Linked DNA regions of Lytechinus pictus. The protein of the gene in region 2 binds, or shares a complex with, the protein of the main gene of each other region. Links are inferred from orthologs where the notes say so. Each region holds a gene or a part of one and is shown on either strand. Other genes may lie near its edges. The genes, in order: splicing factor C9orf78-like, transcription termination factor 2-like and nuclear inhibitor of protein phosphatase 1-like.

Region 1 (11,418 bases), on a different chromosome or scaffold from region 2:
TTCCTTCGCACGCGAGATGATATGAACCCATGGGTGGATTTGGACTGATTCGAAGCTTAGATGTTAAAGTTTCTGGGGATTTCCTTAACAATTTCTGACATTTCACTATCATTCCCATTCATCGCCCAATTCGGGCACTCATTCAATGAACAAGGTTATGATATAACCTTTCTCAGTTACATCTCCATGTGTGGCAAAATAAGGGTGGCAATGTTTGGCTTATTTTCTCTTTTTCTTTGGGACAAATGCTTGATTTTTTTTACACTGACAGTTTCCATTACACCTATAGATCATACTACTTGGCTCTTCAGTAAATTTGAGTCTTTAAATTATTTTTTTCTTAATTTAAGATAGAGATTGAAATATGAAAATTTTCTTGCCATACATACTTTCCACCAATAGAGGGCGTACACAAAAATATGCCCAAATTCAAATTTTTGAGCGCTCTGGTGAATACAAAAATTATTCCCAAGTTACTAATTGAAAAATAAATTGCAACTGTAAGGAAATTAGTAATTTTGGTCACAAAAGTGATATTTTAATGATTTTTTAAAGTGTGTGCTCTGTACAGCATTGGCATACCATAGTCCTACCTGTAGATTCCCCACAGGCAGGATGATTGCAGTGGACAAGTGAATTCGGGTACTGTCTTCGGGTCTTAATAATGATAACTAAGTAAACGTTAGACTTTGATAGTCTAACACTTAGTAACAGTTAGATTCTAGACTTCAATATATTTAAAAAAATATAATTTACAGTCTAAGGATTTAGAAACACCTAAATAGTGTCTTGAATAACTAAAGAATCAAGACATGAAAAAAGAGATTAAAAGGTGTGGAAATGGTACGTTACCGATATTTACTTGTCTTGGTCTCAAGAATCACCCCCCAAAATAGCAGCCAAAATATGAAATAATTACCAACGAATGGAGAGGGCATCAATAATTTACGAATGCGATATCGATATTGCTTTTGATATTATATGATCTGCGCCATATGCAAACCGCCAACAAGCAAAACCGCTACGATCACAGGTAGCAGACGACATTCGATATATCGAGACATTAAGAAGTTAATAAGGATAATGACGTCATTCAAGATGGCAACTTGCAAGAAAAACCGTCAGCTGAAAATGTCTTAGACAAAAGATTTCTCAATTATCCAGAGGATTTTTTTCAATTACTTAAGTTATTTATATTTCCCTGACAATGGAAACCATGAAACTGTAAATTTCGCTTGAAAACAGTTTTAGATCGCGACCTATAAAACGTTAGTTCAGTATACCACTGTCTATATGTACGGGCCAACAACTCTTCAGTCTATGTATTGGTGAGTGGAGCCAACGTAGTTCAGCAGAACAACCAAAATACAGAGACTGAAGCTTTTGGTCTAGCCTCGGTCATGTCCACTCACACTTAGCCAGGAGGCTCCTAGAGAGAGTAAAAATCATTCAATAACGTGTGTATAGTAACCTAACTATATGGATTATGGCCTAGCTGGATTACCGAGAATTATTCTCTCCTTAATCCTGGGTCAGTCCGTCTTACAGAGAACAAGGTTGAAGACTCAGATATAACTGTCTACGTTAGACTCAGTGACTGGTAGCAGAACTTGGAGTAACTTGGTATCTTGGAATCGTCGTATGAACCTGGCTGTGTATGCATGATGAGCGGTTGCGAGAGAAGTGAACTGTAGAAGCGGTGAACGTGTGAATGGCGTCTCGTTGCGGGTCGATCCTGTACATATGGAGGGTATCTGGGGGCATGGTCGCACGCACGGTCACGCGTAGCTCGAGAGTAAAAGGTGTAATTGTCGCACTTCGCGCGGGCGACCAAGTTCCCCATATTCCCCCCAACCGTAAAAATAAAGGGGAGATTAATTATTGACTTCCTACTGCCCTAATCACCCATGTATATACAGATATATGTATGGGGAATGGAAAAAAAAGGTAACATTAAACCGTTACGTATAGCGCCATCCCTTTTAGAAATAACTTATTATAATGATATTAAGGAATAAAACACTTGTCCCAGATCCTTGAAAAGAACCAATTATTTCCCAGTATCTCGGAAATATAACGTAAACATATACTGAGGAATTTAGGTTTCTTTTCCTATCCTCATGGGCACTGAGCATGCTCTGAAAACTTTTAACATATACATATATATGTATATATGTCTTCATGTTACAAGCTACTAAGCATGTAGTTCATGCAGTGATCAGGATATGCCTATCTATTTTAAAGGACTATTTACACATACAAAAAAATATGGTTGGCCCCAAATCTCTATCAAACTTTGGAGGGTGATAAATGAATAATAGGCCTTGATTGGCCAGCAGACTTTAAAACTAAATTGAAGACCATATCGCCTGGATATTATTAAAGGAAATTTATAAATTCATCTGTGACGTCATTTGGCACGATGGATGAAATAACTAAAATATCACCTGGATATATAACTTAATGTGTGACACAACTTGGCACAATATTGTCTTTAAAAAAAACCATACCCATATCCTCTGGATATATTGAAAGAAATTTATAAATTCACCTGTGACATATTTTGGCACAATGGTTAAAATAACTGAAATATCGCCTGAATATATAACTTTACGTGCGACACAATTTGGCACAATATTTCAAAAACTAACTAAACCAATGTCCCTTGGATTTTATTGAATATAAGAGTCCGCAACCTTTACCAATCCCTGAAGACTAAGGAGGGTCTGAAAGATGACAGCCAACAGACACTTTCCACTTGGGGATGTAAAATCTGGTCTAGTTCGGCCCGGTAAGTTGGGAAAACTTCTCAGTCCGTCTCCACCACGATACAGAATATAAACGTTCTCCGGTGAGAGAAAATACTGCATTGCAGAAGAGAAGTACCTAAGACCCCTCAATTATATGGATAGGCTGTGACCTTATCTTTTAATTAACCTCCAAAGTAGGGAGGGCAAGATTTTGGACAGAAAAAAAATTATGAGACAGGGGCCACCAAAAAAAAAATAATAATACACCCTATTACCCTAACAGGCCATACAGTTGCTTAGCGTTGTAGGTGGTTTGGGCCATTATAGTGGCCAAGGGCTGTCCCCGCAGGTTGGCTACCACCGCCCCCACATCACCCAGGCTTTCAGGTGAAGTCACTGTCATGTCCGGGCGAGGAGGGAGATGCGGAGCATCGGTCTCCAGAATCAGCCGATTCGTGGGAACGACCCTAAGGCCTTGGATTTGATCCGTTGTGAAATAGCTGCCATCCCAGCAATACCAAAATAACAATATGGAAAGGCAGCCGTCCATTTTCTAGCTTGCAGCGAGTCGCTAGAGAAATTGTGGAGGTGTATCCTCTGGAGGGGGTAGCAGTGCTTTTCAAGAAGCCGGCGGGCCAAAGTATGCGCCGTGTATGCCATATTATTCTTAGAATCGCCCCTTACATGTAAGTGCAGGATGAGTACTCTCCCTTGGGTGCCCTGACCAAGGAGTCTCAAAAAGAACGCCTCCTGGTCAGGCCACCACTGGGAGCTGACAGAAAATTCAAAACCTAATTCACTTACACCTACCTACACCTACCATCGGATTATAAAGAGACGGACCGTATTATAAAAAGACAAAGTCAAAAGTTAACTTCAAGTCCTAAAATAAAATTAACAAAACAATTGTCCAAAATACGAGCGTCTACCAATCTACGTGACAAGAATCAATGAGTATTTTCACTAAATCAAAAGACAAGTTAGGCCAATATAATATAATTGGGCAAGTCCCCAGACTTATGTTCAAGCTTCAAAAAATATTTTAAGTATTCACCAACTGACTAAGTAATTACTTAATATATATACCATCCACTAAAATTTATAGATTAATGCCACTCTAAATATAAGCATTGGTGGCTCGAAACGGCATATAAAATATATTGATCACTCCTTATTTTTATCTTTTTTTTTTTTTTAAATGATATCTTAATACCGAAATAAAATCAAGTTGACTATTAAATAAAGTCCAAAAGAGAAACCCGACGAATTAAACACGTATGAGGGTAACTCCGTTTTAGCCAGCTAGCACTAAGATAATTCCATTAAAAAGCCACAGTATAATTCATATTTCACGCAACCTATAAAACGGCGATAATAAAATCCTTTCTATCCGCAAAGCGGCAATCTAAATGGCGCCAAATAAATCCGTAAAACGGCAACCTTACTGGCGCCAAAAATGATTACTGCCGGACGGAAAAATCAGTATAATAAATTGTCAAAATTCGCTTTCACTCGTGACATATAGAATCATAATTCAACTACTCAACATACAAAGATTCTACGTCGTCTACTACAGCTAAAGGGGGGAAAGTCAGGTTAAGCAATACGATCCTTCACCAATCACGCAATCATTAAATCACCATCAGCCAAATTCAACAATACATATATATCTCAGTTACGTACAATTCCTAAATTTAATTATCCTACGTCAAAAATTTAAATCCTAATTTAATTAAATCCTAACAGGGAAAGGGGGTAAATACAAATTCATCACCCGAACCACACCCCAAGCAACTCTCAGGCAAGGCATACACTCAGCCCTAACAAACAAAAGAATGCGGGGAGCGGCGAACAATAGAAAACGTTTACAGCTATTTGCATAAATGGCGTGCCCTACGTGGCGTTCATCCTGCCACACCCAAAATTTAAACTGGATTAAGGGGATAGTGTAAGGGTTTAAAACCTACGCAAAACGCTGAAAATAAGCCCTAAAACACTGGTATTATTTGTTTAAGATAACTGTAATAAAGATATATATCGCTAGGACGGCGGATTGAATCCAAATACACTGTATAAACAATTTGTATAGAATGCGAATTACTTTACCGCCCTACGCTACACTTTTTTCCCTACTTTTAAGTACTTAAAATGATGTTTAGCCAATTAACTTTTCTACGCCGCTTGCTTTACTGCATTTAAAAAACATTTAAAAAACTAGCGCAGAGTCGTGTTTAGACGCAGCGCCAATATATAGTAGCCTAACTATATGGATTATGGCCTAGCTGGATTACCGAGAATTATACTCACCTTAATCCTGGGTCAGTCCGTCTTACAGAGAACAAGGTTGAAGACTCAGATATAACTGTCTACGTTAGACTCAGTGACTGGTAGCTGAACTTGGAGTAACTTGGTATCTTGGAATCGTCGTATGAACCAGTCCTGGCTGTGTATGCGTGATGAGCGGTTGCGAGAGAAGTGAACTGTAGAAGCGGTGAACGTGTGAATGGCGTCTCGTTGCGGGTTGATCCTGTACGTATGGAGGGTTTCTGGGGGGCATGGTTGCACGCACGGTCGCGCGTAGCTCGAGAGTAAAAGGTGTAATTGTCGCACTTCGCGCGGGCGACCAAGTTCCCCATAGTGTGCTTACCCTCCACGGAGCCAGGGATTGCGTCCTATTCTTGTGCGTGTACCGCGAAAAAAACTGAAATTTTGGCCCCTGAGATTTCTACTTTGGAAATGTTTTATTAGCAGTGACAAATATTATTTTCTTAAGATAAAAAATAGAAGAAAAAACCTTCGTGCCTTGAACAAAACCAGCTTTACAAGGTCTGTTGGTTTGTAAACAAACAGAGTCAATTAAAGACTCTACAATAGGAAGTCCGTACAGTTCACCAACTTTGCTTTCCTTTCCATCGATTTGCATGTAAACTAGTTTGAGTGCCTAGTCTTTTCCTTGTAGATCTAGTGTCTTTAATATGAATATAAATCTCTCGCCCTCTATTGGCGGAAATGTCTTTCACCCATGAATCATACATGTACATTTCTTGATCGTCTTTTTGTAAATGTTATAGTGTGAGCATTCCAGGGCTCTCTCTAATACAAGAAAACCCGAGCAGTGTAAAACTACCTCTCAGACATAAAAGATAAGTCGTAGCATATATCTTTATGCCGATAAACATCTGCATATATGATTGTGGTACTCATCACATTGTTTGGATTCTGGTAATCCAGGGAGCTTCAAGTTCCTTGTGAGCGGTCAAGAAGCAGCTAGGGTAACTCTCTTGTCTTGAGTTAAGTTGGCATATATATTCAGACTTGCTGTACTCCGCCAACTTTGTTGAAAATGTGGGGATCATCGAACAATCGGGTTATTTACTTACTAGGCTTTTGGATGAGCTTTGTTTTGAAGGAGTCCAGAGACTTTAATTAATTTGAGATAGGGGTAACTGATGGTGAAACTTTCATAAATTGAAACAACAAGAACAAAAAAAAAATGTTTCCAACTATATTGATTGTTTACTCTATCATTTTGTCTTGAAGTACCCACCCATCAATCTGTTACTCAAGTAAAGTGCCATGATAATAACCAGCTTGAAATAATATTCTTTGCACTATCGCAGGTCTATCTTGGAAGAAACAAAAGAAGCTCAGAAGTTCAGAGAGAGACCCCATGGTGTTAGGTTTGTATTGAAATTATATTACAACTATAAATAAAAAATAACTACATTTATTTCTTATTTATGAAAAACACTGATCTTAATGAATTCTCTTTGTAACATTGTCCAACAAATTTCTTCCATGATTAATGATGTTGTTCAATAAGCCTGGGACAAATACCCTTTTGCCAATAGATTGTTGGCCGGGTAAATAATCAAATAGTTTGAACAATTGAGATTCCTGGATAATTGGAAATCAGCCAAAAGTTGGCCTTTTTGACTGACCTACAGTACCAGTGGTCACGCATAATTAAATGTTAAAAGTAGTATTCAGTTGCCGATTGGTGATCAAATACATTTGATTGTGTAAGTTTTACTCCCTGGCCTATTGTACACTTAATTTGTTTCCCCTTCAAGATGATGAACTGGTCCATACATAAGTATAATGTTGAAAATATTCATGTTGAATATATCCATTGTAATAAATTTTTGTAATCTAATGGTGAAATTGTCGTCTTTGATTGTACCTCCAGTGCAACAGCCCTTCTCACAGGCAAGAAAATGACAAAAGTCGAAGAAATGAATGATGTAAGTATTAGTTGAATCTTTGTGATACCATTTAAAGTTTTTCCCGTAGGCATAGCCGTCATGTGTGGCATGCTGACTTCACCGGGGTATGCCTCTATTATACACCGGTATGCTCTCAATGGTGTTGACATAGTTAGGTTTCATTGAACATAATCTATACCTTCAATTGCCCCAATTTTATCCCCTAACTTTCATTGTGCACCATTTTAGCACCTGTCAAATGCTATATCCATGCATTAAATCACTTCCCTTTACTCGTCTAAAAAATTGAATTCTTTAAAGAAATATGTTTTGATGCGCAGCAAAATGCATGCTTTGTTTATTTTTCATTAAAGGTAATGCTCTATTTCTCTTACTATTGCTGGTTTAGATGCTGATGTAGCCAATCTGTGCACATACCCTTTGGCCTCAGTAGCTCTCTCAATAATCTTGGAATTTATGTGGTTTCTTTTTTTTCATTTGTTATTGGTTAGCTTTCAAATGAGCAATGTTACATATAAAGAGCTGCATTGCATTATTCCATATATGTATCTTACATGTATGCGCCATGAAAAATCTGCAGAGTAGATTTGGCGCTTTTAAGTCACATCATCATCATCATTGTTATCAGTGTTTTTGTAATTTTTTATTTTTAATACTATCATTTCATTTATCTGATGTAATCTTTTTTTAAATTTTTTGTTTGTTTTAACTGCAGGATGACCCGTTCAATCTGAAGGCAGGTGGGATGTTGAACATGAAGGATATCAAGGACAGAAACAGAGACAGGTTTGTATATATAGGCATCCATCACTTCATGGTAAAATACCACTTGGTCTTTGAACCCATTCCACATGGTCTAATCTTAGTTTGTCAGCAACCAGGTTATCTGCGTGCCATTTGGTCTATTTGCAATTTAGCTCGTGTACCATTTTGTTCAATTTCCAGTCAGACTCCCGGGGGGGGGGGGGGCACTCAGTATATAAAGCATGGTGGGTATGTGCCGCGGAGGGGACCCCCATTTCTACACTCAAATTTCTGTTTCAAGGCATAGCATTTTTGTCTTATTGAGAAAAAGAACAAAGTTAGACGCTCCGAAGCATTTTCTTATCGAGAAAAAAGAAGAAAGAAATCCGCTCCAAAGCTTTGCATATTTTCCATTACGCCGTTCCAGCCGCATTGATCTGCTACAATGAGCCGCAATTTTGGTGAAAAGCGGCCGCAGAGCGCTTTCCGACTTTCGCCTCTGCGCTGGTGCACCCGGCGCCCGTGCCGCCTGGCTAGCTGCATACACGTATGCATACGCACTCCCACGCAGGCGACCCGTTCCAAGGACCCCCATTTTCACAAACATTGGTAGTTCTGAAGCCCGTTCCAAGGACCCTCCTTTTTACAATAAGCCCGCTCCCAAGCCCCCGTTTTTTGTCTCGCCCGCGGCACATACCTACTACTTTTTTGGTCGAGTACCCCCCCCCCCTCCCCCGGGGTCAGACTGTCCCCCATTTTGTATAAATCATATCCACTTTGTTTATCACTATATCTCGACATTAGCAGTGGCCCAGGGCAGCCAAAAATGAGAGTCCGGCCACAAAAAAATTCTGTAAAAGCCCACACTTGGTGGCTTGGTTTAGGCTACCAAAGTTTTAATAATAATATTTTTAGGGCCACCAAATTTGCGTTGCGGGCCACCAATGATATGAAATTGATGATTTTGGTGGACCCATTGGGCCACCAAGAAAAAAGTTAGTGTGGAGCCTTGACTATATGAACAAATGAACTTTTTGTGATTTATTGTTAATCAAATGTTTCATTTATTAAAGTGCAACTAATAAGTAGACAAAGTGAAAGATCACCCGGGCATTAGACTTAATGATAAAACAATTGATGTTTGGGCCAAATGATAGTTGGACTATGTATGAGTAGACCAACTGGGTATGGTTCCACTTGCCATTTTTTTTTTTTCTGTGATTGTACTTAAAACTTTTTTTTGTCAGCTTTAAAGGCCAAGTCCACCTCAGAAAAATGTTGATTTGAATCAATAGAGAAAAATCAGACAAGCACAATGCTGAAAATTTCATCAAAATCGGATGTAAAATAAGAAAGTTATGACATTTCAAAGTTTCGCTTATTTTTAACAAAATAGTTATATGAACGAGCCAGTTACATCCAAATGAGAGAGTCGATGATGTCACTCACTCACTATTTCTTTTGTTTTTTATTGTTTGTATTATACAATATTTCAATTTTTACGAATTTGATGATTAGGACCTCCTTGCCTGAAGCACAAAATGTTAAAATAATGGAATTCCACGTCTTCAGGGAGGAATGAAACTTCATTTCACATGACAATGACGAGAAAATCTAAATATTTCATATTTCATATAATAAAATACAAAAGAAATAGTGAGTGAGTGATGTCATCAGTTCCCTCATTTGCATACCGACCGAGATGTGCATATAACTGTTTTGTGAAATGAAGCGAAACTTTAAAATGTCATAACTTTCTTATTTTACATCCGATTTTGATGAAATTTTCAGTGTTGTGCTTGTTTAATTTTTCTCTTTTTATTCAAATCAAGTTTTTGTTGGGGTGGACTTGTCCTTTAAAATACTGGAATGACTTGCCAACTTATAAGAGACTGTCTCCATCAATAGAAATGTTCAGAAAGGTATTAGAAACCCATCTCTTTTGTTATTTGTAATTTTATCATTATATAATTCTTTTTAATTATTTCATTGCAAGTGTTTTGGGCCTTGATATGGGAAAAATGCAGTATAAGTAATAAGTAATGATAGAGTAATCTGTGGTGTCACATTACCCTATCTAGTCAAATAGAGAAATATAATTCTACATAGCATATACATGTAGGGGTTAAAAAAGGCACATGCTCCACAATATTTTTTCGATATCTCCAGAAAACAACAGGGGTTTGAAGTAAATTCTCAAGATATCGATGAAAAATTCCCTTTCCATTGGAAACTTGGTGCATTGTGAATTTTGGGGGTGCCATGCACTGTGTAATGACGATTTGGGGCAGTTTTGTAGTGGTAAAAACTCTTAATGTGTATGAAGTTTTGATTTTTTTTATTATTGTGAGGTATGCTCTGTTTCAAAGTACTAGACACATCAGACAGCATCAAAGTCCATGGTATTCCAATATGATTTGGATATACTGTGTAGCCTTAGCATGTACAGTTTCAGCTATTCCATGAATCTGAAATGTGTTATAAAACCCTCTTCCAGGTCTGATGAAGCTTATGATCGTGATGTTGCTAACATGGGAAGCACTTTTGCTGTTGAGACAAACCAGAGAGATGAAGACGCTGAAATGTAAGAACATGATATGGAGAAATAAAAAAAATTAAAACTTGATTTCATTCAATTCCATGTTACTCCTTTTCTCTGCAATCTATTCCACTCCATTACATTCTATTCAAATGAATTTTATTCCACTCTTTTCATTTTATTCTTTTCAATATTAGTCTACTTTGTACTATTCTTTCCTCCTCTTCATTCTTCTCCATTCCATTTTAATGCATTACAGTTAATGTTAAATGTATATTTTGATTGGCAAACTATTACAAGAACTGGCGGATTCTGAATTGACCAATTGTAGGCTTGTAGCTTCATTCCAATCCATTCTGTCATTCCATTTCAAATACTACATTCCATTTCATTTGATGCTGATTTACGTCATTCTGTTTTGAAGTTTACTGAAACAAGTGCCATGAGCGTCTCTGGAGGTGTTTGCGCTAAATAATACATCACCATTATTATCATTATTAAGTCATTTCGGATTATGACTTCATGGGCATCTGGATTCATTCTTTGCAACCATGCCTTCTGACTATTCAAGCATAAATGCATACCACATAAAATTGATATCGTAGTTTTGGAAGAAAGTAGTAACATTTTCAGGAAATACATATATAAGTTTTGTGCGCATTACATTGTGTTTTCATTAAATTTGTGATTTTCTAAGGTGTAAATTTTTTCAGACCTACCCGGCATATTCATGAAACTAATGATGTTGTCGATGTTGATTACAGTGACAGTGTTGATGATTACTCTGATCAATGTTTTAATTCATTGTCATCTTTTCTACCAGTCACAATTCATCAGATACCTTTGTACTGGATGTAAACATGTATATTGGTCTACACATTATTGTACATGTACTTTTTGTCCTTAATCTTACAGGATGAAATATATTGAGATAGAAATGAACAAGAAGAAAGGGTTAGACCTTGATAAAGAATCAGATCCGACAACAGAAGGACCTAAGTAAGTACAAGAGAGCTCTTGTCTTTTGTTTTGTGTGTGGGGGGAGGGGGGCATGAACATTAAAATCTTACCCAAGGTTATTATTTTGTCTCCATACTCATGTTTCATTGATCACCTTTGCATGATTTGAAGGTCATATTTGGGTCAATGAACTTTGCCG
Region 2 (10,986 bases):
AAGGTTGGTGCTCCTCACATGCTCATATATTTCATCCCTCAGGATAGACTCCATGATTTTACATACAATACATGTAAGACTTATTGGTCTGTAGTTTGAAGGGAGTTTACGATCACCCTTTTTTAATACGGCACTGACATTGGCCTTTTTCCACACATTTGGTACTACGCCTGATGTAAGAGAGTTCGAGTAAATAATACTCAGAGGTTTTGCAAGAACAGGTGCCAGTTCACGCAAGACACGGGGATGCAACCCATCTGGCCCTGGTGATTTTGATATATTCAAACTCTCTAATTTCTTTAATACACACTCTTCAGTAATAACAATTGTGTCTAGAATATGAACATCATGATGTTTAACAGATGGGAGAGGTCCATCAGGATCTTTAGTAATGACACTAGAAAAATGCTTCAATAGTGCATTTGACTTCCCTACATCTGATTCTGTCAATGTTTTACTACTTCCAGTTCCATCCTGGTAGAGTGGTGGTATTCCACTCTTTACTTTTGTCTTGTATTTTGCATACTGCCAGAATTTTTTAGGATTAGATTTTACTTCTTTGGCAATGTTTGACTCATATCGTTTTTGACAATGTCTTGTCGCAGTTTTCACTTTATTTCTGATTGTGTTATAAGTTTTCTTCTTTTCTACAGTTTTGTCTCTAATATATCTTTCCCAGGCTCTGTGCTTTTTCTTAATCAATTTCAAGGTGTCATAATCAACTGGGAAATCACTTCCTTTGCCCCATGCATGTTTACCACATGTTACTACAGAAGGAATAAATTCATCCTCAGCTTCATCAATTATACTCAAAACATGAGACCACTGCTGATTTACATCATTCAATGCCGATAGTTCTTCTTCCCAATTTATGGAGCTTAGTTTCTCTCTCATACCTCCAAAGTTACCTTTATCATACACAAACCGTTTTTTCTCATTTGAACTACAATCTGCATAACAAAGTAGGTCAAAAACCAAGACAGAATGATCACTGAGTCCTAAAGGACTACAATGTTCAAGATTGGCTAGCATGCCTTCTTCACTAGTAAAGATCAAATCGAGGACATTAGGTCTAGAATTGAATCTAAACCTTGTAGGATCAGAGACATGTTGAAACAGGAAGGCATCCCTTACACATTCAATAAATTTAAATTCTTCACTTGCTTCACTCTTTGAAGTTGTCCAAGAGTCCCAATCAATCTCTGGGTAATTAAAATCACCCAGTACAAGTAAATGGCTATAATTCAAATCTGAAACATGTGAGATCAATTGACGGAGATTCTCATTATTTCTACTAGCAGCACTATCACTCCTGTAAATACAACCGATTAACAGCTTATCAGAATGCTTCAAACACAGTTCGAGCCAAACTGCTTCCTCAAAATGAATACTCTCAAAACTCACTTGATTTACATTCAATGACTTATGAACATACAATACGATACCTCTACCAACAGCCTTGTCAATGTTTGTGTGATAAAATGTAAAACCTTCCAATATAAAGTCTTCATTGCTCAAATCTCTGAAATGTTTTGGTTTTGCCTCAGTGATCGCTATGATATGTGGTTTCTCTTTCTTCACGAGAGCTTTTAGTTCACACATTTTGTTGCGCAATGAATCTGCATTGGTGTAAACACATTTTAAGCTAGAACTAAAATTAGAAACTGGTGATGTATTTGAACTTTTCTTACTATTCACTTGTTTACGTAGTAAATTTGTTCTATCTAACCTAGGACTATTTACATTAAGACTATGTACATTATTTACAGTTGGAGGCCTCTGTACTGGGCCACTACTGCTGGACGCTTGGTCCGGATTCCCTGACTCCATTCGGTCGAAAGGCAGGGGTAGCCTGCACGATCTTCCCATGGCTTATCTTTAGGTTTTGCTCTCCAGCCTCTTTTCTCTGCTTGAGCTCTTCGCGGAGTTTTCTATTCTCAACGCGCTGCTGGTAGGTTAGGTCAGGAGTAACATACACATTGCTAATAACTCCATTCGGATTTCCACGCAGCTTGGAAGCCTGAGATAGCACATTCTTCTTGGCACTCTTATCAGCAAACGACATTCTCAGAAGTCGAGATTTACCGGCCACTTTCTTGCCAAGACGGATTGGCTTCTGTACCACAACTGCATCTGGGACGTTGAGCTGGTTGAGGATCATTTTGGTTTGGTCAAAATCATGTGCAACACGATCCTTAACCTCATCAGAATCCAACTCAGGGACATTATGAAGTATTACATTACATTCCCTCTCTGCCTGATCCTTACTCTCTTCCATGTACTTCTTAACCTTCTCCTCCACAAGTGCCTCAATGTTTTCAACCTTTGTAGAAGATTTCTCCAACATCATGACATGAGAAGTAAGAGCATCGATCTTCTTCACCAATTCTCCAATAATACTTTGCATTGCTTCAACAGAGGGATCCATTTCACTTACATGATCTCTTTTGGCGGACACACTGACCTTTGAATGGCAATCACAACAAAACCACATGAGGTTTGGAGACCCGCGGTTCATAAGACGATATTCCGGGGGGAAGGAGGGGGATCAATCTCCACCCAGTGACCACTCCGGGGGGGGGGGGGGGGCACTTACATTGACGAGTGGATACCATGGCACGACCAAAAAACACTAGAAATAAAGGATGTCTTTTTCTAGACCAAAAGTCCAAACAAAACAAAGCTTCAGTCAGTCTGTATTTTGGTTGTTCCGCTGAACTGCGTTGCCGTTGGCTCCACTCACCAATACATAGACTGAAGAGTTGTTGGCCCGTAAGTACAGACAACGTCAAAGTATTAGCAGTAACGTTAGATCTAACATTCGGCGGAAATCTGATTTTCGGATCGGTTTTTTGTACATAAAATGTCACATTATAAAAAAGAAATTACATCAAATTTACGTTAAAAAATATATAAAATTCAGAAATATTGTACCTTAGACCGCAGTTACCGCTAATTCCTTTCAAACGATGATCAAAACATAGTCATCTTCGATCTTTTCGTTGGTCAACGTAAGTTGCCATCTTGGATGATGTCATCATCCTTACAGCGAGACATGTTTACCAGTCGCTAGTCTATATATCGCGATTTGTGCCGCTGCTTCGCGCTTGTAGATGTGTGTGTGTTCGGAACTTGTCGCTCGCATTGATTGGCCAGGATATCTAAAATTTTATATCGGAAAGCCTTGATAAAAGCACAACTCGTTGAACGTAGAGGGCAGCAACACACGGTGCCGTTTTTTCCTTTCCGGCAGAAAAATTAAAAATATAAGGAATAAATCATTGGTAAGGTATATTTCAGAGTCTAACGAAAAAAGTGGGCCTTCGTTCAAGAAAATATGATGTCATTTAAAAAAAAAAAAAAAATCTAGACAAAACCCGGTCACCCGAATTGGTGGACCTGATTACACATGCAGGCTCGCACTAACACACTACCGTCGGTGAATGGGGATGATAGTAAAATGTCAGAAATTGTTAAATAAATCCCCAGAAACAACAGTTATTCCTGTCTAGTTCTTTTTCAAGATAGGGCACGTTACGTACGTAACGTAAGAAGGGTGTCAAAAACACTAAAATAATGAAAAAAGGGTATGTTTTTCGCTAGGAAAGCTACGTGTTTAGGGTCAAATTTGTAAGGGTAAAAAGACAAAAATATTACATAAAGGATGTACTTTTTGCCCCAACAGTCAACACTACGTGTTTAGAGTCCGAGGTGTGGGAGGTGGGGCCGTAATAAGCCCAATTATGTAGGTACAGGTAAAACTAACATCCATGACATTAAAATATCACTGTACTTGTTTAGGGGTTCAATTCAGGGAATTCTTGCCAAGGGTATCGTTTTGTTTCCAATACTTGTTAAGAGTAGGGTTTCACACAACAATACTTGTTAAGGGGTGCATTTTCAGAATATGGAAAATACTTGTTTAGGGTGCTTTTCGGGACCCCATGGTTGCCCATGGTATCCACTCGTCAATGGAAGTGGTCCCCCCCCCCCCCGGGACTACTCACACATATTGCTGCGAGGTTAGTATACTATACCAACCTCGCACTACAAACGTTTCTACGCAGTGGATATTTTAGTAGTCGATTAACATCGCTTCATAATGGGATGATGTTAGCCGAAACTCATTCCGCTACTCACCAGCGCTTTTTCTGGTGAGGAGCATTCCATTTTCAATTTTATATTATTTTTTTAAATAAAAAGCACATAAAAAAGAGCAAAATCACTTACCTCGGCCGGGAAAGTGGCTTCGCATGTCTCTTCCACGGAAATAAAAAGGAAGGTTGTTGGTGGCGGTAATACAATTCACAACCTTAATTCAGCTTGTCAGTATTTTATATCTAGAAAAAGTCTAGATTCATTGTATGTGAAAATTCCCATGATTGTTTGATAAAATATAGACACCAATCAATGCAATAACTTAAAAAATGTACTTTTTAGATTATTTTTGCTGACGATAATACTTTTTGGATAACATTCAAAGCGATGACAAATTAAAAAAAAAGAAGAAAATTCTATGTGCCTTGAACGAAGCCAGCAGTGCTACCATTCATTTGTCAACGAACATTCCACCAAAGTCTTTACATTAAAATGATTGGACACTTTGCCGACTTCGCGTAACGCTTTTCATCAATTTACGTGTAAAATAGTTTTTGTGCCTAGTCTTTTCTATGTAGTGTCTTTGATATGAAGATAAATCGCACGCCCTCTTTAGCTAATTAGACGAAAAATTTCGGAAATAAGACAGATCCATATTTTATCAACAAGAAGAGAAATCAGCGCTTAAATGACACTATTTGAGGGATATTCATGATATTAGGGGGAATTGATTTCACATCGTTCGGTAAGTTTCGTAGAAGGACTTGATTTTATTAAAGTTTGTCTGATCTTCATGCAAGGGCCATGGAAGTGTTGCAATTTTGCATGAGCCGTGCCTTCAAATTTCCTGTAGTCGGCAGCATGTAATGCACCATCTCCACCATCATCAATTTCCTTTTTTGCTTTGGACAGACTGAATACTGACACTATTACTGATTCAATGATTGATTCTCATTTTTCATGGCAGAGCATACTGGTCATGCTGGTACTAAGAATTATCACATGTATCACATCAGTCATGACATCAGGATATGGATAAATAAGATTTCTCTTGTAGTCTGTAGATATCCGGTCTTAACGTCATGACTGATTGCTAATGGTTAATTTTAACTTGAATGTGCATCTGTAATAAGCGGTATTTAAATCTCTCATTCCACCAAAATTTGTCAAGCAAGTTTTTAAAACTTTGCAATGACTTTGCCTCTACAATTTCTTGAGGTAGATTGTTCCAATCTCATACAACTCATTGAGTAAAAAAAATTGCTCCTCTGAAAAATGTTTACTGCAGAATTCCAAGTCAACCTGTTAGAACCTTGAAGACTGCAGTCAGTCATATATCATGGATTAATGGGTTGCATTTACAAGATTATGAGCAATATTAATGTTAAGAGAGTAAATTATGGGACTAAGTCTATTTTCCAGTGGAACTGCTCATGTTTTGGTGTTTTAATGATCATGCTCGTAGGCTGCAACAATGTAAAGCCATGATATGAATTTTTAAGCTATATCTTTAATTTTAGGAGAATTATGCTTCCTTAAAACCGGTGTCAGTGAAGGATCAAGAAAGGGGAAGAGTTTTTACATCTGTGGATCCTCATCTGAACAGAAGTGCAATTTTGTGCAGGAAACAAGGTAGGTATATATATATGCCCTATTACATGTACAATTTGAAGTAAAATATTGCCAAAGTACATTTGAAATATCATATAATTGGGCATATAGTATAAAAACACATTAATACATACGTACATTATTGAAATTCCAAATAACATGATATACAACTGTATAGGATATATCTCTTTCATGAATGAGTATGTACAGGTAATTGAAAATGATTGAATGTATTTTTTTAATCTTATCTTTACCATTAACATTTTTTAAGTGCATCAAAATATTTATAGGTATTCATTTTTTCATCCATCCCTCTAAAGCCTTCTAATAGCAGTCTTAAACAGGGACTGCATTATTCATAGACCTAGTGGTGTCATTTAATTTCTAAATAATATAATAAGGGTTCTAGTATACATGTAGATCCACAACTCTGATCTCTCCTTTCTATGTCCTTATTTCTTCCACTTATTTTTTATGTAATTTTAAATTCAGTCCCCCTCCCCTCCTTATAATGCCTCCCCTGGTCTTCAAGAGGTGATAAACTGCTTGTGAAACTGATGAACCTAACTTGAATTATTCTATTGCAATGAAAACACTATTTATTTTCAAACTCCAGTCTGCCACCATCATTTTGCCTCAAACATACTGACGTACTAGTCGAACTGCAAGGATATGGATCCAAAGCCAATGGAGAGATGAGGTAAGCTCTTATTTTTTTTTTAAAGTCATCTCTTATTTTATTTAGCTCTTAGGTTAAAGAGGAAGTCCGCCTTTTGATACTCAAAGTGGGGTTTGATAGAATAGAGAGACAATCAGAGAGAGAGAGAAAGAGAGAGAGATTTCAATGAAAATATTATGTAATCCATAAAGAGGATGACACAGTGATATTGCAACATATTTTATATTTTGTGAAGACACTTTCTAGTGAATCTGATTTCAAGCCAAATGTATATTTGTTGAACTTGCCTGATTTTGTTTTTAAGATGCTTTTCTACATTGTTTGTCTCATTAGGCAGTACTATCGATGTACAAAATCCATGCATGAGGGCAAAGGATGGTGTGGCTATGTGGTGGTAAGCATAATTAGATAAGATTTGGTTGACAGAGTATTGGAACTGTCTAAGAAATAGCTTTAGTAAAAAAAAACAATGCCCACTGTCTTCTAATTACTTCGCAGGATTTCAAAGTGTTTTTTGTGATCCCCGTTTGTTTTGTTTATACTGAATTGGGAAATAGACAGGGAAATAATAATGCAGGTTTTTAGGTCCCCAAGTTTTATTTTCTTTTTTTTTCTTCTTGTTTGTGTGGTTGTTAATTATAGCATTATTCCACTTTTTTGTTGTTATTATATATTTGGCAATGAATATATGACAAAGTACAAGACTGTTGGCAATAATTGAAAAGGTGATTTTTTATCTGATCACCATAATAGATTATGGCATAATTAAGCAAGCCGAACTGAAAACTAGTAGAAACTAAGCAATCCAAAAGAAGTGATTGAAATTGTTAACACAAATAGGCAAGCATTGGAGTATATATAAGACCAATCCATCAAGAAAATGCCTTGCTTATTTTGCTTATTAATGAGTAGTCATTCACTTTCTACCGGAACCATTTGACACATTCAAACACGAGTAGTCATTTCATTGGAACCTGTTAGTATTTCTTACGTGGTGGTGACCACAAATGGAATTATCTTTAAATGTGATGTTTTCACCCAGGTCCGTCAAGCCAACCGCAGGCCACTTGGTGATGTGAATGGGATGTCCTCTCTATCTTCTGACAGCCTCAAGCATTCTAGTGAGAGCGGTGTTGTGGAGAAACCAGACTCATTAGTGAAGTCTACCAGACAGCCATCATCAGGGAGAGATGAAACTCGGACAGGCCAGAACAACGGTGCTGAGTCAAAGAATATTAAGCATTCCAGTAAACAGAGAGACATGGATGATATCACCAAACAGATGCATGCTGCAAAGATTGGGAGTAGAGAGTATGACTCCAGGAGGCAGCCACCATCTAAAGATGGGATTGATAGAGAAACGGGAAGAAACAGGAGTGGGGACGGAGCCAAGAGATCAGATTTGGAAAGAGGTGGTAATGAACCGAGGAGGACTAGCTCAGACTCAGATAGAGATGTTTTCTCAAGAGGGAAGACTTATGGAGGAGATACGAAACAAGATCAGATGGAGCAGAAACTTGGTCATGGAGGCAGTGGTGCATCAGATCAAAGTTCTTTGAAGAGTGCATCTCACAGAAGTAGGAGTGAAGGGGATAGTCAAGACAGACGACCTGGTTCTGAAATTAATCCTGTAGAGAAATTGTCTCAGGGGGATGATAGGAGGTATCATGAGAATTTGCAAGCGCGAGGAGAGAGGTCCTCAGAGGTGGCTGCCAAGGAGAAAGATCAACTTCGGCAGTCTGCAAACAAGGAGCAAGCACAAGGTCCTAGTCAATCACACAAGGATGGCAACCACAAGATGAGATCTCAATCAGCCACTTCCAATGATGCGAGACCGAAGATTGTTACTGTAAAATCCGATCTGGAAGCAGTTGCTGCAGAGAAGACGCAACCACAAAAGCAGTATCATCAAGCTGCAAGCAAAGACAGCAAACAGGGTAGCCAACAAGCAGTAACAAAGGACAAGTTGGCCTCAAGATTTGACAAGGTGCGGCAAAATGACAGTATGAATATGTCATGGAGGAACAGCAGCGCCCTCAATGACAATATCAGCAGTGATGAAGAAGAAGTAAGCAAGGATGACACTGATGATGATGACTGTATCATCCTGGAAGACACACCTAAGGTGATATCCAAAGATTGCACTGAGAATAAATCAGCTGCTGGTGCCACGAAAGCTCAGAGTAAAGAGGACGATCGCCGTTCTCCAGTGGATCCTAGTCTTGGATTGAGAGAGAGACTTATGCGCAAAATGAAGATTGATGCTCCAGGCAGTAAGTTGCACATTACTTTTGTTATCATTAAACCATCTAAATGATTGTATAGTTTAGAATTTGCTATTTATACATTACAACAAATTCATTTTCTATAATTCCAGTAGAGATTGCTGGACAAGTGCTTTTCCAGGACAAGCCAGTGATATATCAAGCATATTGCAAGCAATATTTTATGAATTAATTGAAAGTTATTTTAGACATTGCAACACAGTAACACACCTTCAATTTTTGTGTGCTATTTGATGATTTTTGTGAAAATGCAGAGCGAGCAAAAAGTGATGTTTTTTTTTCTCATCCCGTCAAGTGTCTGAACAAAGGATACCCATCTTAACATGTTATTTTTCATGAATGCCCAACCTGTTATGTTTTTTTTATACTTTGTTTTGTTTTGTGTTTATGAATTTAGATGAAAAGCTGATTACAAATTCATGGTTAATCAAGTTAAAATGTATCAATACCAATATTGTTGTTCATAACAAGGAGGTATGCTTTCACTAGTTTAGAATTTGCTATTTATACATTACAACAAATTCATTTTCTATAATTCCAGTAGAGATTGCTGGACAAGTAGTAGATGAAAAGCTGATTACAAATTCATGGTTTCACTAGTTTCATTTTCTATAATTCCAGTAGAGATTGCTGGACAAGTAGTAGATGAAAAGCTGATTACAAATTCATGCTTTCACTAGTTTAGAATTTGCTATTTATACATTACAACAAATTCATTTTCTATAATTCCAGTAGAGATTGCTGGACAAGTAGTAGATGAAAAGCTGATTACAAATTCATGGTTAATCAAGTTAAAATGTATCAATACCAATATTGTTGTTCATAACAAGGAGGTATGCTTTCACTTCAACTTGTCTGTTCCCCACAGATGGTGACAAAGGAGCACAACCTAATGAAAAGAACAACGAGACAAAACCAAATACTTCTACAAGTGCTCCATCCTCCACTCTTCCAAAGCATCAACAAGAAAAGACTGGTGCCCCTCTTCCAGCTCCTCACAACCAAACAGTGCATGTTGTGCCTCAGGTATCCTCAGTGAGAAGTGACTCAAACCAGTCTGGGATATCATCTGCAGCAGCATATCCAAAAGCTTTGCTTGCTCAGAGGCAAGCCTATGAGAGACAGTTGCAGCGACAGAAGGTCATTAATGTTTTAGATATCTTGTTCTTTATTTCTTTTCATGTTATGGATCATTAACTCTAATCCCTTTTCATTAACCATTATTTGGTGATGAATTAAAGGGATAGACTAACATAAAGAACACGATAAGTGTTATTTAAGGACGTTCCACAGTTATGTTTGTGCGCATTATGATCTGCGCATAGTTTACACTCTGCGCGCTGACGTCACAATGGGTGAACAGGTGATTAATTAGCTGCGGGTATGAGCTGATTTTTCTCATCTTCTGCACTTTAACTGCAGATCCGATACCTTATTTCATGAAGCTAAAAAATTGAATTATTCCATGGACCATTAAAAAAAAAATTCTCTACAATTTCAAAATACTTTACTCTGCAGTGCTGCCAAGAATCACGAATATTACCCCGAGTTTGAATAAATGGTAGAGTGGTTTTGATTTTTTCTTCACATAGATACAAGGGATTCGGCGCATTTTTGGTGTTTTAAAAAGCACATTTGCTCTAATAAAAATGCTGATAGTTTAAAAACAAGCACATGAACCCCTATTTTTTAATGTTTGTACCTCTTAGGTATACCCTCCTCTACAACTCTGCAAATTTTGGTGAAAATGACATGGATTTTAAATAAAGTGCAGCATTTGTTGTACGTTTGTAGTTTGTGGCTGAAATTTTACATTTTTTAGATTGGGATTTTGTTATCTTTTACGCCATTTTAAAGAACTGACAGTGCTGTTAAACTTAAAATTGCAAACAAATAGCACTTTAAATATATTCTCTATTCTAACGATACAATTACTAACTCTCTCGCGAAATTTGATGACTTTTTCATGTATTTTGACTGAGTAATACAGGTTTAAACTCATTGTAGTAAACTTGGGCGGTCTAAAAATGCCAAATTCTTTTGAATGCGCAATTCTAAAGAACATTCATTTAGGTGAACTTTGAAGCTCTATAGCAAAAAATCAAGCACATGGACCTATGTTAATTTTTGCATATTTCGAATATTAAGGTTCTTAATTATCTATGTGCAAAGTTTGGTGAAAATGACATGGATTTCACTTTAACTGTGGAACGTCCTTAAATAATGTAATAATGGAATATGGAACCCATGTGAGAGATGATAAAATAACTTATATTGTAGAAATATGTTAGCTCCAGAAAGAAATAAATTGAG
Region 3 (10,596 bases), on a different chromosome or scaffold from region 2:
ACCATGGTATAGACACAAAAATCATATTTATGGACATTGAGCAAACTATGGCGGGTTTTTTTAAGTAGCAACAGCAATTTTAAACTCCATTTTTGGAAGCCATATTGGATTTTTGGACACACCAGACCACTGGCTGTCTTGTAACTTGTTTCAATGTACTATTTCACCCTTAGAAGCATTGGATAAAAAACAATTTGGATGAATTGTGGATTTTCAGCCTACGGCAGCCATTTTGGGCGCCATCTTGGATTTGCCTGGTACACTGGAGGGCTTATAATTCATTCTAGCCTAAATCAATTTTTGTACCCCCAGACCATGGAATATGAACCGAAATATGATTCTAGGGTGGATAATGTGTCAGTTGTATCAATTTTCAGTGAATGGCGGCTATCTTGGACGCCATCTTGAAAATAACCACTTTCCCGGTTGCGGATTTTGGTAGATTTTTAATATGTTATTCCTGAGGTCAAATAGTACAAAATACCATTGAAAAATCACTTGTTGCAATTTGTTCCGGGTAAGGCTATTTTTGGTCGTATATTGACCCGTCCAGAAGGAAAAGGAAACTAAAACAAAGAAGTAGAAGACGAAGAAGAAGAGATATTTATACACAGATGTTATGAACCCCCTTGTGTAATTATAATATTGTGTATTAATTTGAGCTAAGAAAAACTGAACTTTTTAAAAGCCCAAACTACAGATTAATATAATTAATATTCTTTGTGCAAAGCCGATAATAAATTAGTGACCATGAAGGCCATATTGATATTCATTGGAAGTGATTTCGAATTCAGATTTATTCGTTCTATAGCAATAATAAGAAGAGGAATAAACGTAATACGAAATTTAAATCAGACTGAATAGATTTCAATGACATAGAAAATGCACCGGTATATGTAGGTCAACCAAGCTTCACTCTACCTTGTACATATATTTCGTTGACTCATTTCCTACACAGCGAAATTTTTAATAAATAATTATGATATTTTTTTGTAGTGACGTAATTTAGAACACACCCCCTAATCCATTGTGACATGAGAGGCAGTTTATTTTCAACCAATAGGAGCCTGTTGTAATGAATATTCTCGTCAAGGACGTGAACAGTTTGGTTGCATATACGCCCCTAATTTTGCTGATAAATAGACGAGTCGTCGATCCTGGAAGACTTGTGGTTGAACCAGGAACCATTCTGATAACCCGTATCAGGACAATTACCCCCCGGACAACTACCCCCTGAGGACAACTATCCCCCGAGGACAATTACCCCCCGGACAACTACCCCCGGACAACTACCCCCCGGACAACTACCCCCCGGGCAATTACCCCCAGACAATTACCCCCCAGACAACTACCCTCCGGACAATTACCCCCCAGACAACTACCCCCTGGACAATTACCCCCGGACAACTACCCCCCGGACAATTACCCCCACCGGACAATTACCCCCCCGGACAATTACCCCCCCCCCCGGACAACTACCCCCCGGACAATTATCCCCGGTCAATTACCCCCCGGACAACTACCCCCGGACAATTACCCCCCCCCCCCGGACAATTACCCCCCGGACAACTACCCCCGAGGACAATTACCCCTCCTCTCCGGCATCGGTGTTAGAATTCCTTTTCTCTTTTAAATTTCCCTCTCTCCCTTTCTCTCTCTCTCTCTTTCTCTCTCATTTTTTTTCTTTTTCCTTATTTTTTTACTTCAGAGCTTGCGCCTCCAAACCTCCCATTTAGTTACGCACATATACATCAAATAATATTTAAAGCGTCCCTCATACTACCTTTTATTTTCAAGTTTTCATAGAACAATTGAACATTCATGAAATGACTGCTTGGACTTAGCCATGAAGACTTTACATATTTCAACAATCAAATAATGCAAGCGTGAAGCGCGAGCTGAAAATTTTTGACATTTCTACGTAAAGAATGGAAAAATTTAATCAATTTTTGTAATCGTGAACAAGATAGCTATATAACTAAGCAGTAAATAAAGAGGCTTTAATAGCAGGAAATCATAATTTATAAATAAATTTTCGGCATTACTCCTATGTGTTTAAGATCGCATGCTCGATCTTTAATGAAAATCATAACAGAAGAGGATTGAGGGTATTTGAATTCTAGTTCATCGTGATAGCCGTGAACAAGAATAGCCTGGTGGTTAAGTCGCTGCCCGGAAAGCAGTAGATGCAGGTTCGAATCCCACTGGTTCCAATTTTTTCTGACTTATGATGTTCATTGAAGATCGAGCATGCGATCTTAAACACATAGGAGTGATGCCGAAAATTTGTTTACATATATAACTAAACAATTAATTATTTGATGCGAGCGCGAAGCGCGAGCGTAAAAAAAATCGAGATTTAGACCTTAAAACGGGACTCTCAATTCACGTTTTGTAAATCATGAAAAGAATGAGTAATATGGGATTTTTTTTTTCTTTTGAAAATAATTTTATTGGTAACATAATCACATGAAATAGTTACATAAAATGTAAACAATGTCATACAAAGCATGAAATATTTTCTTCAACAATACTGTTTTCAAAAATACACAAATTTTTCCTTTTACAACGCTTCTCTATTTCTATACGATTACAAATCAACCTTTTGAATAAACACAGTATACCAAACTCATGAAATCGACAACTCCGACTTACTGTTCGAATAAAAATTGAATAAATAGCATACCTTGCATACATAATAAGAAGATTCAAAATTCTATACTCTTTATTTTTTAACTCATATCCTTTTATCAAAGTAGCAACATTAAAATCAAAATTAATGCCTACAACTTTATACACAATGGTACTAAATTTTGTCTTTTTTCTTACACGTTACAAATAAATGTACGCTGTCTTGTATTTCATTGTCATGTGAACATAAAGGATTATCCCTTAACTTCCATTTATACATATTATATTTATGAGGTAAAAGATTATGTAATAACTTATAATTAAACTCTGCTATTCTATTTTCTTTGACAGTTTGTAAATTAAATAACCATACAGATTTCCAATCAATTTCTTCTTGTAAAATATTTTCCCATCTTTCTTCAGCTTTAGGCTTAATACTTATGTTATTTGAAATAATGGTGTAAAATAACTTTGAACCTCTTTTCCTAATTACATTCGTCAAAATATTCTGTAGAATGTTTTCATTTTTAGGTTGAAGAATCTCAAAAAATAACTCAAACCGGTTCATTTTCCAAACTTTCGGTATGGCATTCATTACAATGTTATACTCCTGAAAAAGACTTGCATACTTTTTTTTCAAATAAAACTTCTATTTCCTTTAATGATTTGAGTTTGGAATCTGAAATAATGTCCTTTACCTTTAGAATTCCAATATCGAACCATCTTTTAAAAAACAATACATTTCCATTGCGATCTTTTATATTCGAATTAAACCACAAACTTTCCTTCTCGATCTGGACATTTTGAAAACCTGATTTATTTTGAACGGTTTGCTTAAAATTCAACCAGGCGTAAATTATTGCCTTATGATAATATGGCATTTTTATTTTATCTATATTTTATCTACATATACTTTAATTTCTTTTTCTGTACAGTTACTATGTAATACAAAATCTAATCCTCCAAATTGAGAAAGATAACTATCAATGGTTGTACTAAATTTCGATTCTTTGTTATTATAATGATACAAAATCCATTTCAATAAAAAGCTTTGGAGTAACATATTCAAATCAACCATTTTGAGTCCATCTAGATCATATTGCATACAAACAACCTTTCTCTTTACTTTATCTATCTTTCCATTCCAAAGAAAAGAAAACAATAGGGAGGTTAAAAGCTTTACAACTTTCTCTGGCATTATAATCATTTGAGCGTTATACAACATTTGAGAGATGAGAAATGTTTTAATTACAAGTATTTTTCCTGTTAAAGTTAGGTGACATGCATTCCATGATTTAATCAAACGTTCTACTTTCAATATTTATATGAGATCTTCGTACATTAATAATGCGAGCACAAAGCACGAGCAGAAAATTTTTGATATTGTGGTCTGAAACTGGATAATGATTTAAATTAAGAAAACAAGTTGAGTATCTGTATAAACATATGCGCGCGTGTTTCGACCTAGCTAGAATCTAGGCATTCTAAATAATCTTTTATCATGAAAATCAAAGTGAGCGTAAAGCGAGCGCGAGCTTAAACTATTTGATATTCCGATTTGAAAAAAAGAGTTTTGACATAGGACCGGGACATCCTTAGGACATGTGAATGACTGTCTTCCTATTCCTCTTGCTAAGCGCAAGATGAAACATAAGGGCAATTTAATTCTTAAATTAATATCTATGCCTATTCAATATTGAGGGCGCGAAATCTGATGATATTATGGCCTGAAAACTTGACATTTCAAGCACTTTTTTAATTATAAATAGGACGCATCAGTTAATGTATTTAAACCATTAAAGCGAGCGCAAATTGCGAGCTTAATTTTTTTATACACTGTCATGAAAAGGGGATTTAAAGTATAGTTTGTTGTATAATTAATATTGAGACATTATATAACTCACCAATCAAAATGCGAGTGTGCAGCGATAGCTGATACGTTTTTACAATCAGACCTGATAAGGGATATTTTGAAAATTTTATGGAATACACGAAAATAAAAGATACCTGATAAATCAAAATTTGCGAGCGCTCAGCGCGAGCACAAAATTTTAATATTCAGACCATAAAACTGACATTTTTACAGAGCACTTTTTAAAAATGAATTTGTAAATCCAACAAAATAATGAAAGTTCGATTTCCGAGATGAAATATGTTATGTATATTGACTTCAATACTTATTTCAAGCTACATATCAGCATATTGAGCAAGCTATGTATCTCACCCGGGGGGGCCACTTCCATTCACGAGTGGATACCATGCGCGACCATGGGGTCTCGAAAAGCACCCTAAACACGTAATTTCCATATTCTGAAAATGCACCCCTTAACAAGTATTGGCGTGTGAAACCCTACCCCTTAACAAGTATTGGAAACAAAACGATACTCTTTGCAAATATTCCCTGAAATGAACCCCTAAACAAGTACAGGAATGTTTTATTGTTACGGGTCCTTCGGTCGTCGGCTTTACCTTATTTGGTTAAGTACGACCCCACCTTCTACACCTCACGCAAATTGGACTCTAAACACGAAGTGTTGGGGCAAAAAGGACATCCTTTATAAAACATTTTAATTTTGTTTTATCATCCCCGCAAATTCGACCCTAAACACGTAATTGTCCTAGCGAAATAGATACCCTTTTTTCATTATTTTTGTGTTTTTGACACCCTTATCACGTTACGTACGTAACGTGCCCTATCGTGAAAAAGACATCCTTTTTACGTGTTTTTTTGGTCGCGCATGGTATCCACTCGTCAATGTAAGTGCCCCCCCCCCCCGGGGTATCTCATCGAACAGGCTATTCCCCTGACCTTATTTTATTCACTCGTCTCCCTCCTATTTTCTTCTTCTTTTTTCCTCCGTTCTTTCCCCTTCTTTTTTTCTCTTTCTTTCCCTTTTTTTTCATTTTCAAGGGGGGGAGGGCATCGGGCCCGGCCCGGCTTGATCCGCCAATGTATCACGGTCACCTTGACTTATCATATTTGAAACCTACATACCACGCATACCACATCATGCACACACGATAAGATAAATGATTATAGCTCTAGAACTACTCAAATATGCTCCTCAGAATAGATTATATGAGGTTGATTGTTATCATCCAGCGCACATTTTAAAAATAAATGTGGATTTCTAAACGGGACATCCAATCTTTGTTCTGATCAATATTTGTAACACATGTCGGACAAAAAATCATGAAAATTGTCATTTTGGTCAAAACATGGCAAGAATGACCACTTCTATTGTGATTTGGCAAATTGGCAAATGAAACCACTTTATTTGGAATCTGGGTGCATTTTTACTTAGGATGGACCTTAATTGGATGTGGTTACAAAAGCATTTTGTTATAAGGGACCATTTTCCAAAGAGTGGTCAAAATTGTCATTTTTGTTCAAAAATTGGCCAAAATTGCTCAAATGTCGTGAGTACGGTCAATAAGACTGACTATTTTGGAATCAGCACACAATTTTACCCCGGATAAGCCTGTCAAACCTTCCCCACCAAAAATTCTGAATAAAGCCCCCTTTAATTCTCCCGATCCTACATGTGGTGTGTGCCGCGCCCTGAACCTAAATGTGTGTGTGTGTGTGTGTGTGTATTTGAGTTTTGTCAGACGTGTATCAATCAGATATGATTATTTACGTCTGGGACCGACCTTTAACGTCACCATCCGAAAGACGTGACCTGGGGAGCGTTTCATGAAAGGACTTGTCGGACGTTTTATCCGACAAGTCCTGTTTTATCCGACAGTTACCATAGTAACAGTGCCTCACAGCCAATCAAAATCAAGGAAAGATGTCAGATCTGACAACTTGCCGGACAAAAATCTTGATGAAACGCTCCCCAGGGCTCGAACCTCTGCATCAATTTGTAACTTCCCCACAGCTTGGATTACAGGCGCACGCCACAACGCCCTAAACTTCCTAAACGTATCTTGACCGTAGATGGCAGCAATCCTTAGCTCGTCAACATGGCGAATTTCGAGGTACCGTCATGGTAAGATTTGTTTATTTATTTACTCAGTTTTTGGTAAAAAACAGATCTATTTATCATTTTCTCAGTGATATGGTCCGTGTGAAAATTGATCCGTAGATTTTTTTTTAAGATCTAAATGAAAAACAGTATGGGAGCAGCTGATTTTCAACCCTGTTTCTCGCTCGCTCAGGCTGCCTTCGCTTCGGGCGGGGCGCAGCCCGGCCCCGGCTCGGGAGCTCGCAGCGGACAAGGGGAGACTCCAACATTGGCATGGTGGCGTGGGCCGGGGATTGGGCGTGGGGCCTTATCCTGAAATAAGTCATCTCTCTTCTCGTGTGTGTCAGTGTGTTTGAGCTCGTTGTGTTATGAGTACAAAGTCAATGGGAGATAGATGAAGAAGTCACTGACGAAATGAACGATCGCGATGTCGCTGTCCAGTGAATGTAGTGGTGACTTAAACCAGGCAGGATATTTAGATAATAAGGAGCTTTCGATTGTCTGCGACTGCAACGTAGTCCTAGTTCACCGGAAGTGGTGACACCGCTCGTTCAGTATCACGTTCGTACATTGATGAAAACAGTTTCGATTTAAGTCGACGTACCCGTACCAGGCCACAGCATATACCAGCGTGATAGCGAGCGGGCCGTGGGCCGATGCTCGGCTGGAGAATCAGGCGTAGCATCACGCTACGAACCAGTGCCAGTGGGCGTGTGGGTGCAACATTTGCACTCTTGCGCAAAAAGCCGAAAAAAACACAGTTGTTTGGGAATAGAACAACAATTACCTATCGGATTAACCCAGAGAGCTCCCGCCCGCTGCGCGGGCGGGAGCCCAGAAGCTTACCGTGTATTTGACCATATTCACTGGACTAGGGTGATTTATGGTCTAAATATTTCTCCAAATGAATTGTGAAAACAGAAAGTATACAATTACCACAATTATATGGATGAAGGTCTAACGAGTGGCAGTTTCCTGACATCTGGGCACAGACTGGGACCTCAAAAAAACGAAAAGTTCTCTCCTCTACCCCAGTCTCGATCGGCCATTTTGTTACGATTTTTAACAAAAATGGCCGATCGGAACGGGGGTAGAAGGAGAGAACTTTTCGTTTTTTTGAGGTTCCAATCTGTGCCCAGATGTCAGGAAACTGCCACTCGTTAGACCTTCATCCATATATCGTGGTAATTGTATACTTTCTGTTTTCACAATTCATTTGGAGAAATATTTAGACCATAAATCACCCTAGTCCGGTAAATATGGTCAAATACACGGTAAGCTTCTGGGCTCCCGCCCGCTGCGCGGGCGGGAGCTCTCTGGGTTACTATCGGATATGTAGTGTCTGAAAACAGGACACACTAATGGAAAAGCTGGTAACAAGCAGTAATTTGCAGTTTACCAGCCCTGCTGAATCAACGAAACTCGAATGTTGATGCGGCTTCATTCATTTTTGCTAAGCTTGGATGACGTCATCATGTACGAACTAGCGCTCGTTCGAGCACTATGAGTATGATACCGAACGTCAAAACCCTCAAATACGAGTCACAGATTTGAGCAGTGAACGAGAAGGCTCGTCACAGATTACTTCGCGCATGCGCAGCGCTCCTAAAATTCCTTAATCTCGTACGTCCACATGGCTCCTCACAGAAAACGAAAGGTCTCCAATGCCGGGCTTGGCGGCGCAGGAGGCTCCGTCCTAAGCCTGCCCTTGGCTTAGGCTAACGTTCGACAGTGAAAATCATTTACTAATGTATCAATATTGTATGCTTACTCTCCACGGAGCCACGGACGGATGCCATTGCTCTTTGCACACCAAGTATTTTTCTTTGGCAACAAGTTGCTGCAAAATACCGGTACTTGTTTTCATAAGACTTTACTGTCTTTAAAGTTTAGTTTGTGAGCCCAAACTATATGACATAGACTAGACATTGTTCATGAAAGCAAGATTTATTTTACGTTGATCGTGTTAATTTTCTGGTTTGATTAAAGCACAGTACTGCGCATGCATGATTGATAAGCGATGACTTTCATTCATGAATTCATCGTGCATAAATCATCTCGGCACGAGCAGACGAGTAAGACTCGAACAATGATCGAAATCATTGAAATAAACTTCAAATTAATGGTGAATATGCATCATAATTGCACAATCGGTTTCATTTTCGGGGGAATATAAATCAAGTAAGTAGTAGTCAAGTTGGACATTACTGATATTTTGATGATTGATTGTGTGAACCAAACAAATCTTTTTTTTTTCGATGCACAGATTTGGCAAAATCTGCACCGGCGCTCGATGACATGGATCGAACACCGATTTTAAAATCGATTCGACTCAGGCTTAAAAATAAACTTGAAAGGACAAAAACAGTGACTTTCTTCAGCTGTCGCACAACTCCCACTTCCCTGGTTTATCGGAACTTAATACATAAACATATAGCCATTGAGTCCCTGTACAGATCGAGTTAGAACTTCGGTCTCTGTAATTGGTGAGTGGAGCCGACGGAGTTCAGCGGAACAATTAATTTAACAGAGAAAGAAGCTTTTGGTCTAGACATACACTAGAGCTAGATCTAAATCAATTCAAACTGTCTAGAATCTATATGTTTATTGTTCTTTTTTACTCGACTTTTCCAATGAAATTAGGCTCGGTAATTAACCTAGCTGTATATTCCATCAACTTCTCTTTTCCCTTAATTTTAGACAGTACTTAGGCTATCCACTATTCAATTAACTTTGTTCTTACTCCTCTTTTCCAACGAAATTACACATGGTAATTAATCTATATTCCAACAACCCCTCTTTTCCCTTCATTTCAAAACCGCTGCCACTTTTAGACGGTTAGCTATCCATCCATCCACTACAATTTTAACAAGCTTATCTTCCTTTTTTACTCCAGCGCGTGTTATCGCGTTGCCAAAACACATAGACGGAGCCAAAAAGAATGATAAACTTAAGATTCTAGGTTTTATCCTCCTTTTTGGCTCCGTCAATGGGTTTTGGCAACACAACACGTGCTTGAGTAAAAAAGGAAGATGGATAAATGATATGTTGAAAATTAATGTGTGTGAATGTGTGTGATATATCATCTAGGATGATCCATTATGATTGGGGGGAGTGTGATGATGTGAGAGTTATTGTGCAATATCATGTCAACCCAGATATTGTCCCATGTGTGAGAGAGCGAGCTGAATGTCTCGCATCATCTATTGAAAATCAACGAGGCGCAGTAGTGCTTATTGAAATTCAGGTACTTTATATTTCATGACATTATCGTGAAATTGGGAACTGCCGTTTATTTCATACCACAGTGCTCTATTCAGTGACACACATGGTTCCCTATAAGTGCGCATACGTACAAATCAACGAGTGGTTCCCAAAACTATGATTTGGCCGATATCTTCATAAACCAAGACAAATCATGTCTTGATTGATCTAAATTGGGATTGTCCTTGTTTAACGTTATGCCTATTTTTTTTCACTTATAATCTACCACTGTGGGATACTAGACTAGACAATGATAGACACCAATTTATGGGAATTGAGAGTGCTAAAAATAGATTCATTGACCTCAATTCCTCCCAGTTCACCATCTATTTTTCACGACTTGCTGTCTTCCAATAATCTGACCTTATTATGAAACCTGATATGTTTGCATTGACTCGATCGATCGATATGGGCACTCAGACATGCAGGGACAGATGAATGAACTTTCCTAACATTATTGTATTTCTTGTGTGGAAAAATTATTTTTGTACACTCAGCTGAAACACAACCACACGTAGAGGGCAGATATTTTGTTTGCAGTTTTGGATTGGGCTTTGTTGAGCAGTGGGGGACCGGGAAGGGTTTATTGAAATCATACTGACACTTGATCCTAGATAGGAGGTACATTGTAAATGTAAAATATGAACATTTCATTCAGATTTGCCATCATCAATACCACAAAAACCTGACAGTTTGCAAAACATGCATATGTACATGTATGGTACATTTA

Evidence for each region.
Region 1: transcription termination factor 2-like (region 2) and splicing factor C9orf78-like share a complex: the UniProt entries of both Homo sapiens proteins name them as parts of the spliceosome. The link is inferred for Lytechinus pictus from reciprocal best matches to the Homo sapiens genes TTF2 and C9orf78.
Region 3: transcription termination factor 2-like (region 2) and nuclear inhibitor of protein phosphatase 1-like share a complex: the UniProt entries of both Homo sapiens proteins name them as parts of the spliceosome. The link is inferred for Lytechinus pictus from reciprocal best matches to the Homo sapiens genes TTF2 and PPP1R8.

What each region holds. Positions count from the first base shown.
Region 1 is NC_087259.1:27,476,972-27,488,389, forward strand, and holds the start of splicing factor C9orf78-like, read left to right. Parts: upstream 1-6,369; 5' UTR 6,370-6,430; intron 6,431-6,939; 5' UTR 6,940-6,967; coding exon 6,968-6,994; intron 6,995-7,691; coding exon 7,692-7,762; intron 7,763-10,217; coding exon 10,218-10,304; intron 10,305-11,174; coding exon 11,175-11,258; intron 11,259-11,418. UniProt on the Homo sapiens protein: Plays a role in pre-mRNA splicing by promoting usage of the upstream 3'-splice site at alternative NAGNAG splice sites; these are sites featuring alternative acceptor motifs separated by only a few nucleotides. May also modulate exon inclusion events.
Region 2 is NC_087256.1:8,333,382-8,344,367, reverse strand, and holds the start of transcription termination factor 2-like, read left to right. Parts: upstream 1-5,622; 5' UTR 5,623-5,730; intron 5,731-6,325; 5' UTR 6,326-6,404; coding exon 6,405-6,409; intron 6,410-6,721; coding exon 6,722-6,782; intron 6,783-7,430; coding exon 7,431-8,661; intron 8,662-9,541; coding exon 9,542-9,813; intron 9,814-10,986. UniProt on the Homo sapiens protein: DsDNA-dependent ATPase which acts as a transcription termination factor by coupling ATP hydrolysis with removal of RNA polymerase II from the DNA template. May contribute to mitotic transcription repression. May also be involved in pre-mRNA splicing.
Region 3 is NC_087261.1:1,177,118-1,187,713, reverse strand, and holds the start of nuclear inhibitor of protein phosphatase 1-like, read left to right. Parts: upstream 1-6,295; 5' UTR 6,296-6,600; coding exon 6,601-6,626; intron 6,627-10,596. UniProt on the Homo sapiens protein: Inhibitor subunit of the major nuclear protein phosphatase-1 (PP-1). It has RNA-binding activity but does not cleave RNA and may target PP-1 to RNA-associated substrates. May also be involved in pre-mRNA splicing.